3 linked regions of the Nothobranchius furzeri genome follow. The protein of the gene in region 3 purifies or fractionates together with the protein of the main gene of each other region. This does not show direct contact. Links are inferred from orthologs where the notes say so. Each region holds a gene or a part of one and is shown on either strand. Other genes may lie near its edges.

Evidence for each region.
Region 1: the proteins of anapc11 (region 3) and anapc4 purify together in Homo sapiens (affinity purification with mass spectrometry; 8 studies listed by BioGRID and IntAct, with this or other methods). This does not show direct contact. The link is inferred for Nothobranchius furzeri from reciprocal best matches to the Homo sapiens genes ANAPC11 and ANAPC4.
Region 2: the proteins of anapc11 (region 3) and anapc2 purify together in Homo sapiens (affinity purification with western blotting; 7 studies listed by BioGRID and IntAct, with this or other methods). This does not show direct contact. The link is inferred for Nothobranchius furzeri from reciprocal best matches to the Homo sapiens genes ANAPC11 and ANAPC2.

Annotation. Positions count from the first base shown.
Region 1 is NC_091748.1:39,288,613-39,292,736, reverse strand, and holds the start of anapc4 (anaphase-promoting complex subunit 4), read right to left. Parts: upstream 2,946-4,124; 5' UTR 2,767-2,945; intron 2,134-2,766; 5' UTR 2,126-2,133; coding exon 2,018-2,125; intron 1,936-2,017; coding exon 1,830-1,935; intron 1,761-1,829; coding exon 1,628-1,760; intron 1,545-1,627; coding exon 1,470-1,544; intron 1,392-1,469; coding exon 1,365-1,391; intron 1,280-1,364; coding exon 1,235-1,279; intron 1,135-1,234; coding exon 1,050-1,134; intron 831-1,049; coding exon 723-830; intron 649-722; coding exon 478-648; intron 1-477. UniProt on the Homo sapiens protein: Component of the anaphase promoting complex/cyclosome (APC/C), a cell cycle-regulated E3 ubiquitin ligase that controls progression through mitosis and the G1 phase of the cell cycle.
Region 2 is NC_091745.1:17,492,527-17,496,179, forward strand, and holds part of anapc2 (anaphase-promoting complex subunit 2), read left to right. Parts: coding exon 1-200; intron 201-311; coding exon 312-444; intron 445-592; coding exon 593-834; intron 835-3,653. UniProt on the Homo sapiens protein: Together with the RING-H2 protein ANAPC11, constitutes the catalytic component of the anaphase promoting complex/cyclosome (APC/C), a cell cycle-regulated E3 ubiquitin ligase that controls progression through mitosis and the G1 phase of the cell cycle.
Region 3 is NC_091744.1:6,780,362-6,783,662, forward strand, and holds anapc11 (anaphase-promoting complex subunit 11), read left to right. Parts: upstream 1-1,426; 5' UTR 1,427-1,776; coding exon 1,777-1,885; intron 1,886-2,476; coding exon 2,477-2,622; 3' UTR 2,623-2,745; downstream 2,746-3,301. UniProt on the Homo sapiens protein: Together with the cullin protein ANAPC2, constitutes the catalytic component of the anaphase promoting complex/cyclosome (APC/C), a cell cycle-regulated E3 ubiquitin ligase that controls progression through mitosis and the G1 phase of the cell cycle.

The sequences.
Region 1 (4,124 bases), on a different chromosome or scaffold from region 3:
TAAAAACAAAATTGGTTGCGATAAAGACAGAAAAACTGAAAATTGTATAATTTATAAGCACTAGTGATGGGACGTTCACGAACAAATCAAATCTTTTGAATGAGATTTCAAAGTGAACGATGAGAGCTGAGTCCCCGTGGAGAGCCGTTCATCTTGTCTTCCTGTAACGACAACCCCCCTAGCCGCTCAACCCCCACCACTGCTGTGACACCCACTCTCCGCGCGCCCTCATGGACACCGGAGGAACACGTTGCTCCCAAATACACCCCCATGGCTTCGTTCAAGGGATCTAGTCTTTTGAACTGCTCTTTAAGGTAGACGAACAACTAACGAGCAGCCGCCTTGAAAGAGCTATAAATCCCATCACTAATAAGCACACATGCTAAATTCTGCTAATTGTCCAACAAACTCACACAGCAGGCAGGAAGTGTGGTGGTCTGCCAGGAAAAACTCTGACAGGAAACAAAAACAACTGACCTGAACAAACTTAGTGAGACGATGATCCATCTGCAGGAGGATGTCCTCCCACGCTTCGCACATGCATGTGAGTGACAGGTGCAGGTACTGCATCAGGGTGGAGATGTGAGTGAACTTACGCGCCATCCTGGTGAGTTCAGGCAAACAGTCCGACAACAATCCTGTGTCCAGCTGAAACACAAGGAGGGAAGTTAGAGTTAAAGGAAAGAAAAACAAAGTGTGGAGGAGGAACGTGTCCATCTCACCTGGACGTAACAGATGTCTGCGCTGCTGTCAGCAGACTTGACTTCTGTGATGACAGACAGAGACTTGAGGTCACTCGACAGACTCAGACTGCGACATGTTCCTGAAACCTGTAGAAAGTTCATCAATTAAAGTCACAGTCAAATCCGTTAATGCCGTCTACTAAAGATTTTTGGCATAATTAGCTACTTTTTTCCTGCATTTAAATTAGAATTTTTATGATTTCAAATATCTATGCTAACTTTAGAGTCACTTAAAAACATTTTTGGTAAATTTTTTTTACAGACGACAAATGGAACAACTCATCTGAACAAACAGAGCTGCCTTACCCCATCCAGCGTTGCAATCTTGTACATCCCGTACGCATACAGCTCCACATTTCCACCATCTCCTCCAAGAACAAGTACATTTAGTCTGCATGGAGACAGCTTTCATTGGTTCCCATAAATAAAAATTCCAATATCTTAAGGATGTCCATTTGCTCCTGGCAGTAAGTGACTCTAACCATATTTACCTCACTTCTCCAAGGAGGTTGAGTATCTCATCAGACTTCTCCTCACTGTGAAACAGAAATGAATGCAGTCAGTTTCTGTTTGTGCTATACATGCCACATACATCTATGATAAAAAAAAAAGATGTCCCACCTGAAGATCTTTGAAGTTGTGCTGTAGCTGAAAACAAAAGTTTGGACAAATATCAGGCCAGTCAATCCAAAATGTCTTTTCTTGTGACAACATTTTTAATTTTACCTCTTGGGAAGAGTTGGTAATTTAGGAAGAAAAAGTTTAGATTCATCCTCTGAAGTGTAAAAGGAGCTGAGGACACTGAATCACACACAAAAAATCCTTCATATCAGCTTTGACAAGATTTCACAGAACGTGGTATGTTTGTTGAGCTTCCTGATTACCTGCTCTCCTCCATCACCTCCATCCAGTTCATACAGGTTACAGGACTCTGCACTGGAAACATGTGGAGGATCTCTGCTTTCTCAACCCCACAAAGGACAACCTGCTTGGTGTCTCCAAGACTGAAGGCCAATACTGGGGTTACAAAAAACAAATTCTCACAATTCCATTAAGACAAAAATGTGATAAAAAAAAATCCCTTACTTTTGCCATCAGGCCTCCAAGCAAGTGCGGTTATCTTCTTTCCAGTATATTCACTGGGTGGTAGGCTCCAAACCCGGTGGAAACTAGCCAAGCGATGCAGTAGCACCTGTTGAAAATCACAATAATAAACCATCCAAACAACAGGAAACAGTCACCTTGATTCAGAACAGTTAGGGATTTAAAGTCACCTCCCCAGTTGTGTTGGCCAGAGCTATCAGATCCCTCTTTGGAGACCATGCCATACAGAGGACCGGGTTTGGAAGCTGCTTCTCTCCCACTTGCCGAAAGGCAGGCATGTTGTTAGCTGAAAAAGAAAGAAAGTTTACATTCATTATTGTGTGATAAATGGCCAGCAGGGGCCTAATTACAAGGTTTAGAAGATGTACCAAGATGGGCTATTAAAAGTGAGAACAGATTCAATGAGTGATCTGTAAAACATCTAATAAACCTGTACATGCATAACAGAATAATCATCAAAAATCACATACCTTTTCAATATTTCGTTTACTATTGAATATACAACTGATTATTAAATATTAAAAATCTTTTTCTGTAAAGATAATAAATAATTGTAACAATAAAGAAAAATAGAAATGTTAGCATTTGAATACAGAGGCCCAAATGCAGAGTCAAGAATCAGTAATGAAAGAACCGAGTTATGAGCATGACGTCAGCAATAAGACACACTAAACAATACAACTCAATGCGGAGAGCAACGAGACCTTAAATTACACTGCGATGGAGACGAGCTTTGAAACATTTATGTGTTTTCTGCGTGATAACAGTAGAGTTTTCAGGGTCACAACTAAAAGAGAAAACATTGAAGTACTTAACGAGATTCAAAAACAAAAAGGGAGCTAAAGGCACAACACTTTTCCATTTCCAACTCATTTTATGAAGCATAAATTAGCCGCTCGTTAGCTGGAGCCTCACTCACCGGTTTTGCTAACAGCTGTTAGCTAGCAGGTAAAACTGATGATTCACAGCGATTATTTTAACCCGACCAGACGATAACACCAAATAAACCCAAATCGTAAATATACGAATTTAATATCTCATCGTAATATTTTCGCAGTCACTCAAACACCGCCATATTTCTACTTCCACCAATCCCTGTAGAGCAACGGCAGCCGAGAAGAGACAAACGTATTCAGAAGGGGGGGGGGGGGGGGGGAATAAAAAAAAACTCGATTCCTAAATATGTCTAGAGATTTGCACCCCATGATGGCGCCTTTGGTAAGGATTTAAAACAAATTAAAGTTAACGTTTTGGTCCTATTTTTATTTTTTAATAAATGTTATATTCTATGCAGATTAAAAAGTAGATTTAAACTTTGAGGGTTTAGGACAAAATATAAAATAAGTTTTTTCATAATGTGTTTTTGTACTTCTCTGTCAATTGAATGCATTGCTTAGAATTTGTTTGGATTTAAAAGTTAAAAGTGATCATAAAATTCAAGGTTGACTAAATTATATTAATTCCATTAGAAATATAGGAAAGTTTGCAAGGGTGGTTTCATTCTGGTGATATAAAACTATGCTAAAATATTTCAGTACTCATAAATAGATGCTGTACACATGTTATATGGAGACGTCGCCATTGGATAAAGTAGTTATTTATAAATAACACTTCATACAGAGGGTTGGGTGATGACAATTGTCAAGTAGAAATCCAAATTACTCACCAAGTGTTTGCACACGTGTGTATTGTGAGTGTATATGGAAACTCCTACTGGACTTATCAGCAGCACTTAACTGTAATCAGCAGAATGAAGAAGAGCCAGAATAGCTCAGAGAGCACAAAATGTGATGGTGGACTAGAAATAGACCAAGTGAGGCTGCATGGTGGTCATGGTTTATTCTTTCCAAGGCCCAGGATATCTGTCTCGCTTGGTGAGAAATCAGGAAATGCATGAAGTTTAACAAAAATGCTGAGCATCATTCCATATGTGTGTGCAGAATGGAATCGGACCGAATAGTGACCGGGTTCTTCAAGATCCTCATAATAATTTTGAGTTGTTTTAAAGCCATGGAGGAACCAGCTCAGTCTGAGAGGTCAATGGGTGATTATTGTGTGTTTTCAGATGTGGCCAGTTCAGATTATCATAAAAGATTACAAACATTCTGTTGTACTTGCATACAACAGCACAATTGGTGTGAAACTTAGCCATCCCAACATCCTGTGCTTTCTGTGTATAATTAACCAACACCTTGAGCTCCTTCTGTTCACCTAGACCCCCTCAGTCTTCATTGCTCCTGCCAGCAGTCTGGCTGTGTAACATGAGCTAGGGGCCAA
Region 2 (3,653 bases), on a different chromosome or scaffold from region 3:
TGGCTGACTCTCGTAGGATCAACAGTCACATCCGTGAAGAAGAGTCGAGGCTGAGCGAAGAGGAGCAGCTGCCGCTCAGTCTGTCAGCCATCATCCTGTCGTCAGAGTTCTGGCCAACGCTGAAGGAGGAGAAGCTGGAGCTCCCTGCTGTCGTCTGTCAGGCCATGGAGGCGTACACACACAGCTACGAGAAGCTCAAGGTGCGTTCGCCAGCAGGTTTTCGGTTTAAATTCCACTCCTGTTATATTCCTGTTCCTGGAGGATTTAGGAAGTCTGTGGTCGGGTTTTATGTTGGTCGTCTGTGATTTCAGGCCATGAGGACTCTGAGCTGGAAGCCTCACCTCGGTTCTGTCACTCTGGATGTGGAGCTGGAGGACCGGGTCCTATCCCACCTCACGGTGTCGCCGATCCACGCGGCCATCATCTTGCACTTCCAGGAGAAAAGTAGGGTTTTAAATTCCCCGCTCAGCTAATGTTTCCTTTTGTTACATTTGAGCCTAAAACCCGTTCTCTGGTTCTGGTTTCTCCATGGTCACCTCGTCCTCCGGATGCTAAATCCCGTCACTGAATTAGTCCTTTTGTCTCCCGTTAGGCTCTTGGACCCTGGAGGAGCTGAGCGTGAAGCTGGGCGCCCCGAAGGAGCTGGTCCACAGGAAGCTGGCCATGTGGCAGCAGCATGGAGTTCTGAAGGAGGAAGCAGGAGGGCGGTACTGTGTCCTGGAGACCCGCTCATCTAGAGAGAAACTGGACCGAGGCGTGATGCTGATCGACAGCGACGAGGAGAGAGACTCCAACACCACCACCCAGTCTGAACAGAGAGAGGAGAAGCTGCAGGTCTGCTTCTACCTGCTTCTTCTTTTTATTCACTTATTTTTCCCAACATTTTCCTGCCTTTTATCTCTTCTTTGCCTCTTCTAGGTTTTCTGATCCTTCCATTTCATTTTTTCTCATTCTAATCTGTTCTCTGTCTCTCTTCTTGATTTTTTTCTTCTTCTTCCCGCTCTAATTTTTAACTTTCAGGATTTCTGTTTAAGCAGGTTCACTGAAAGCTGAAACCCCTATGATCCGCATTAGCTCAAACCTTCCATGATGATGAAAACACACACCCTGACAGATCTACATCACACTGACACCTAACATTCATGGACTCGCCCATCTTGGCTTGTAGTGGGAAGGCTGTTGCTTAGCAGGTTTAGCGTCCAGGAAACAGCAGAGAATGCCCCGGCTAGTAGAAGCTAACCATTAGTGTTAGCAACTCCACCACACATCAGAACTCCTCCAGGCTTGTGTTATATGTGAAGGTAAGGCCTCAGTGTTGCAGAGCAAACAGATTCAGTAGTAGAGTCATGCTGTTAGCCAATCAGAGGTGAGATGTTTAAATATCAGTAAATAAGACTCTAAATCCTGTCGTCTGAAGCTATTTTCTCCTTAAAGTGAGGGTCAAGACTTGGGTGGGGACATATTTCATCCACACTTCCTGTTAGGAAAACGCTTCTGAAAGCCACACTGAGGCTGTGGTAGACCGCACCCCCCTCAACCCTCGCGTGTGCTGTCGGAGATTCTCAATCTTAAAACTAGCTGTTAGCGAGACTTCCGGGTATGGCGGCGAAGCGAGTGGAAGCATAGTCAGGAGCTCAGCGAGGGTCCAGCATTTCCCCATTTTTTCAACTACGGATAACATCAGACTTCGATAAATATATATGGGGAAATACAAAACTAAAAAGATACAAACCACAGAAAGGAAAACCGACGAAGAGAAGGACGGAATGGCGACGAGGGAAGGGAATGAAGACGCCCAAAACACGATGGCCACGCTTCAAGCTAGCATGGAGGCTATCCGGGAGGAAATCATGGCTAGCCACGTAGATATGAAAAAACACTTCAGCGAAGCTTGGGAGACGATGAGAGTTGACATGAAGCAAGAGCTGGGGAGTTTTAAGGACGAGATCAACAAGAAGATGGATGAGGTGGGGGCCAACTTAAAAAGCGCGGAGATGAGAGTGGAAGAAATGGAGCAAAGAGTGGGAGAGGTGGAAGAGTGGAGCGCTAATGCTAAAGATGTGCTCCTTCGGACCGTAGAGGAACAACAGCGAATGCTGGCCAAGCTAACTGATCTGGAGACCCGGTCACGGAGGAACAACCTTCGTATATTTGGAATACCAGAGGACCGGGAAGCTGACAACCCGACTGAATATGTGGAGAAGCTCTTAAAGACTGAACTAGGTATGCAGAATGCAGAGTTGGGGATACAACGATGCCACAGATCACTCGGGCAGAAGCCTCCTGCACACGTGCCCCCCAGATCCATGATTGTGTGTTTCCTTGAATATAACATTAAAGAGCAAGTGCTGAAGAAGGCATGGTTGAAGAAAGATATACGAATAGAAGGACATCGGATTTACATGGATCATGACTACCCGATAGAAATCATCCAGAAACGAAAAGAATATGCCCCGTTACGAAAAATACTGAAAGAAAAAGGCATAAGATTCCAGACACCCGCCCCAGCAAGGCTCCGTGTCTTCTACAAAGATGGTCCAGTTACCTACACGAATGTGACATCAGCAAAGCTAGATCTTCAGAGGAAGGGCCTGCTGAAAGGAGGAGAAGATGAGGGATCTGGAGAACCGTCCAGCAGGGGACCAGCTCAAGGGACGAACGGAACTCCAGCAAAGCCAAAAGACAATTCGTGGACGGTCAGCGGACGAGAGCGAGGACGGGGAAGAGGCGTGGATGTTCAGGGGGCTCGGGAAAAACGTACACGTTTTCACCACCCATCCCAACTGAGAGACTGAAACTGGTTAAGAGGTTGTGAGTAAACATTCCGTTTAAGGTTGATTAACATAGGCAAAGAAACACTGTTTGAGGGAGTGAAGATAAATAATATTTAATTTTAAGATGCAGACTAGGATTGTAATCGTGTTCACTTATCAGTAGACAGCTGTGGTTTGACGAAAATTAATAATTGGACCGCTGGACGGAGAAGAAGAGAGTGCATTGTCACCATCTACAGGGAGACAGGATGGTACCAGAGCAGACGTCACACTCCCTTGAGGGGCCCTCTACAGAGAGAATTCCCCTCATAGTTTTAGAAGTGAATTTCTTACTTCTTTCATGGAAGTCATGTTCAAATGTATGTTTAGTTGTTGTTCGTTATGGCACAGGTTGTTGTTGTTTTTTTACGGGTCGGGTTGATCAGTGCAGGGAGAGCCTATTTTGTAAATGTTGTTTTAAGAGAACACCATGTCATTTCAGGAATATAACATTGTATCATTAAACGTCAACGGGCTCCATAACCCCATTAAGAGGAAAAAGTGGCTACTAAGATGAGAAGGGAAAAACAAGATATAGTTTTTTGGCAGGAGACACACCTAAACAATAAGGAACATGAGAAATTAAAATGTTTGGGGTTCAAACAAATATACTACTCATCATATGGACAGAGACGTGCAAGGGGAGTGGCAATATTGATTGGAAATAAGACTAACTTTCAGTTAACTCAACAAATAGGGGACAGAAAAGGGCGATATGTTATGGTAGTGGGGCAAATTGATCATAAACCAGTGACTCTACTAAATGTTTACAGGCCGCCAGGCAATGATCAAGAATTTATTAAGAGATTATTTAATCTGATGGAGGAACACACTAAAGGA
Region 3 (3,301 bases):
AAGTAGATCGGTCAAATAATGCAGATGCATCCTTAACTTCAAGGGAACAAGACATATTTAGCCTTTTTAGGGCCCCGATTCTTAGCGTGTTGTAAATGCTAACTGGCGTAACCAGTCTCAAACTAAACTCATATTGTTAAGCAGCTTTTGATGCCTCTGGTCCCTTCTGGCCCGTTACTAGGCCAGCTAGCTAAATTGATTTTACTCTGATGACTTGTACAATTACTGAACTCACTTAGATATGCATTTCCTAGACGTAATAAGACAGACTATTGAGCGTTTTGCTAAAACCTTATCTCATCAGTGTTTGGTTAGTTGACGACAACAACGAGCTAAGACAAAAACGTCCTCCTTACCTTATTTTTATCTGCTGGACAAATATCCTTCTTTAAAGTGTCTCCTATTAAGATAAAAATTAAAGAAAAAACAAACAACTAAAGCAAGTTGGGTGACTTATATTACCACTCAGAATGAACGGCTAGCTCAACGGTTATCATTTAGAAGCATGCTGAAGCTAACCACAGGGCCTGTTTTCTGCCTCCTGGTTAAACTGTGGCCCCCTTCTGGGTGGAGGAGGAATAACACAAAATTCAAACTACAATAAAACGATCAGATTGAATGAATGGATTAACCTGATGATGACAGGTTTAAGGAATTCTAATGTATTGGTGTAAATGTTGAGGTGTTATGGTTGTCCTTACTGATTACAGCTTTGAGGTATTTTTATTTCTAAAAACAGATTAAAGACAACAAAATCACTAAACTAAAATGGCAAATGTATTCTTAAAACGTATAATGGACTTTGGCACGCATCAAAATTTAAAGATGGGTTCATTAAAGTCTCTAAAATTAGGTATTATTGATAAAATCACAAATGCTGCCAACTTTTCAAAAATATTTCATATTTAATTTTTTATTTATAGCTATTGTAACTTTATAATATAGTTCCCTCCTCATTTATTCATGCGTCTTCTCCTTAACACAAATAATCCGAAAAGGCCAAAAACAGCTTCAATAAATGTCTTCTAAACAGAACCAAAATGTAGTTGCAACTGTTCGCCACTGGAGGGCGGCAATAGCTCATTTTATTCATATAAAGTCAATTAAAACTGCGCTTGTCGCGCCGTAGCTAGCTGAGTTTAGCTATTATCATTTTAAGCAATTATATTTGTAGGAAATTTCTTAATTATGTTATTTAAAAAATCTGGGTCCTTTCTAGCAAGGGGATTACAGATGGGTTAGTACCACAATTAAGTTTCCTCAAGGCTCAGGAAAATGTGATCGCTCATTTGTCAAATGTACATAAATTATGTGTTATTGAATTAAGTATATTTTCTGAGATGTTATTCCTCCATGCCAACATGTCTTTGCATGTCTGCAAATAAAACACCGCAGAGTAGCAGGTGAGAATTACTTTTTCTAAAGAGGGACATATTTCGTTGTAACACCGGATGACAGAAGTAGAAGAATGCTAAGCTAGTTAATTTGATTCTAAGTGTGTGCATTTACTTTAATGAACATACGTTTTTACTGTTGTTGCAAATCATTAAGGCTCATTGGTAGCTGCTCCGTGAACTGTGGTAAATATTTCAATCTGGAAAAAGTGCATTTGGTGGCGATCAATGCAGCTTCTGTGAGACGAACGCCAACCCCGGAAGTAACGGGACACAGCCTTACGTTGCAGAAAACAAATCTTTTTCAAAGTTGTATTTTACTGCTATTGGATGTCGGAAGGAAGAAACTGAATAACTCGCGGACCTGAAGTGCGGTTTGAGGATGAAAGTTAAGATCAGGCAGTGGAACGGGGTGGCCTCCTGGTTGTGGGTGGCCAACGACGAAAACTGCGGGATCTGCAGGATGTCCTTCAACGGCTGCTGCCCGGAGTGTGAGTAACCGAGCTGGGATGGGTTCTGGTTCGAAAGTAGCACCAAATCCGATGTCCTAAAATTAGATTTTAAATGTCCAGAACTAGAATAGGATGCCTTACATTAGCTTAAAACTATTGTTACAGAGCTGCTGAAAGGAAAATGTTTCAGGGTATGTTTGCTGTTAAGGGTGATCCTGCCCTAATGAGATCTGGAAGGCTAACTGAGGCCTACAACGATCTATTTTATTCTATTTAGGTACATCTGAGTGACAAAGGATTACAAAACATCCTTCATCTTTTGGATCAGTAGAAGAACAAACTGTAAAATGTTACTACAGCACCTTAAGAAAGGTCTTATGAATGTTTGTTGTCTGCATCTCATATCTCAAAAACAGCATAGGTTGCTGGTTTAGCTTGTGGACAAGCATACAATGCTGGTCCAGCATCCCATGCTAGACTAGCATTACATGGTGGAGCATCTTACCAGTACCAGTACAAAAGCACAACATATGCTGGAAACCAAACCAGCTGTGCTGTATTTTTCAGCAGGTTCTCTTCAACCTTTTACAGTGACTATTAATAAAATGTAATTAAAGTCTCATTTTGCAGGTAAAGTTCCTGGAGATGACTGCCCACTGGTCTGGGGTCAGTGTTCCCACTGTTTCCACATGCACTGCATCCTGAAATGGCTGAACTCACAGCAGGTGCAGCAGCAGTGTCCGATGTGCCGCCAGGAATGGAAGTTTAAGGAGTGAATCTGTTCATCTGTTTGCAGAATTCCCACATTTTTATCCCAGCTGTAAATAACAAGAGTTGTATTCGTCTACACTGATGCACAATTTTTCTGTTAAGTTTGTGATTAAATCTAAACAAATGAATTATGCTGTTGTGCTGTTGATTTACTGCTGCATCAGACTGATTCAAACTGCAATTCTTTTCAATTAGTTGATGTTTGTGTTTAAAAAAAAGGGGGAAATGGTCAAATAAAGGACAAAAACATAAGTTTTATACAGCAGTATCTAAAGGGTCCGCTGAAAAAAATATTCATCATAGATTTGACACTGCAGGACCAGAAAGGTACTTGGAGAGCAAGTCACCCCCAAATTAACTTTCTTTTCTGATGAACTATATTCAATTCAAAAATACTTTATTAATCCCAGAGGGAAATTAGAGTTTCTGTACACACTAGGGCCCGACTGATATATCGGCCGGCCGATATTGGGGTATTGGCCTAAAAGACGGCTGATGTGGCCGATATTGCGCTACCTATCCAGCAGATGGCACCAGCTTTATGAACTCGTGTTGTGTGTCTCCACTCCTTTGAACTTTGAACACAAATTATTGTTTTGGAACTTATTTATTTATTTATTCTTATTTATGTTTCTTATGTGCAATTATTTACTGTCCAGGGTGAATAAGTTCACCAAGTTAACT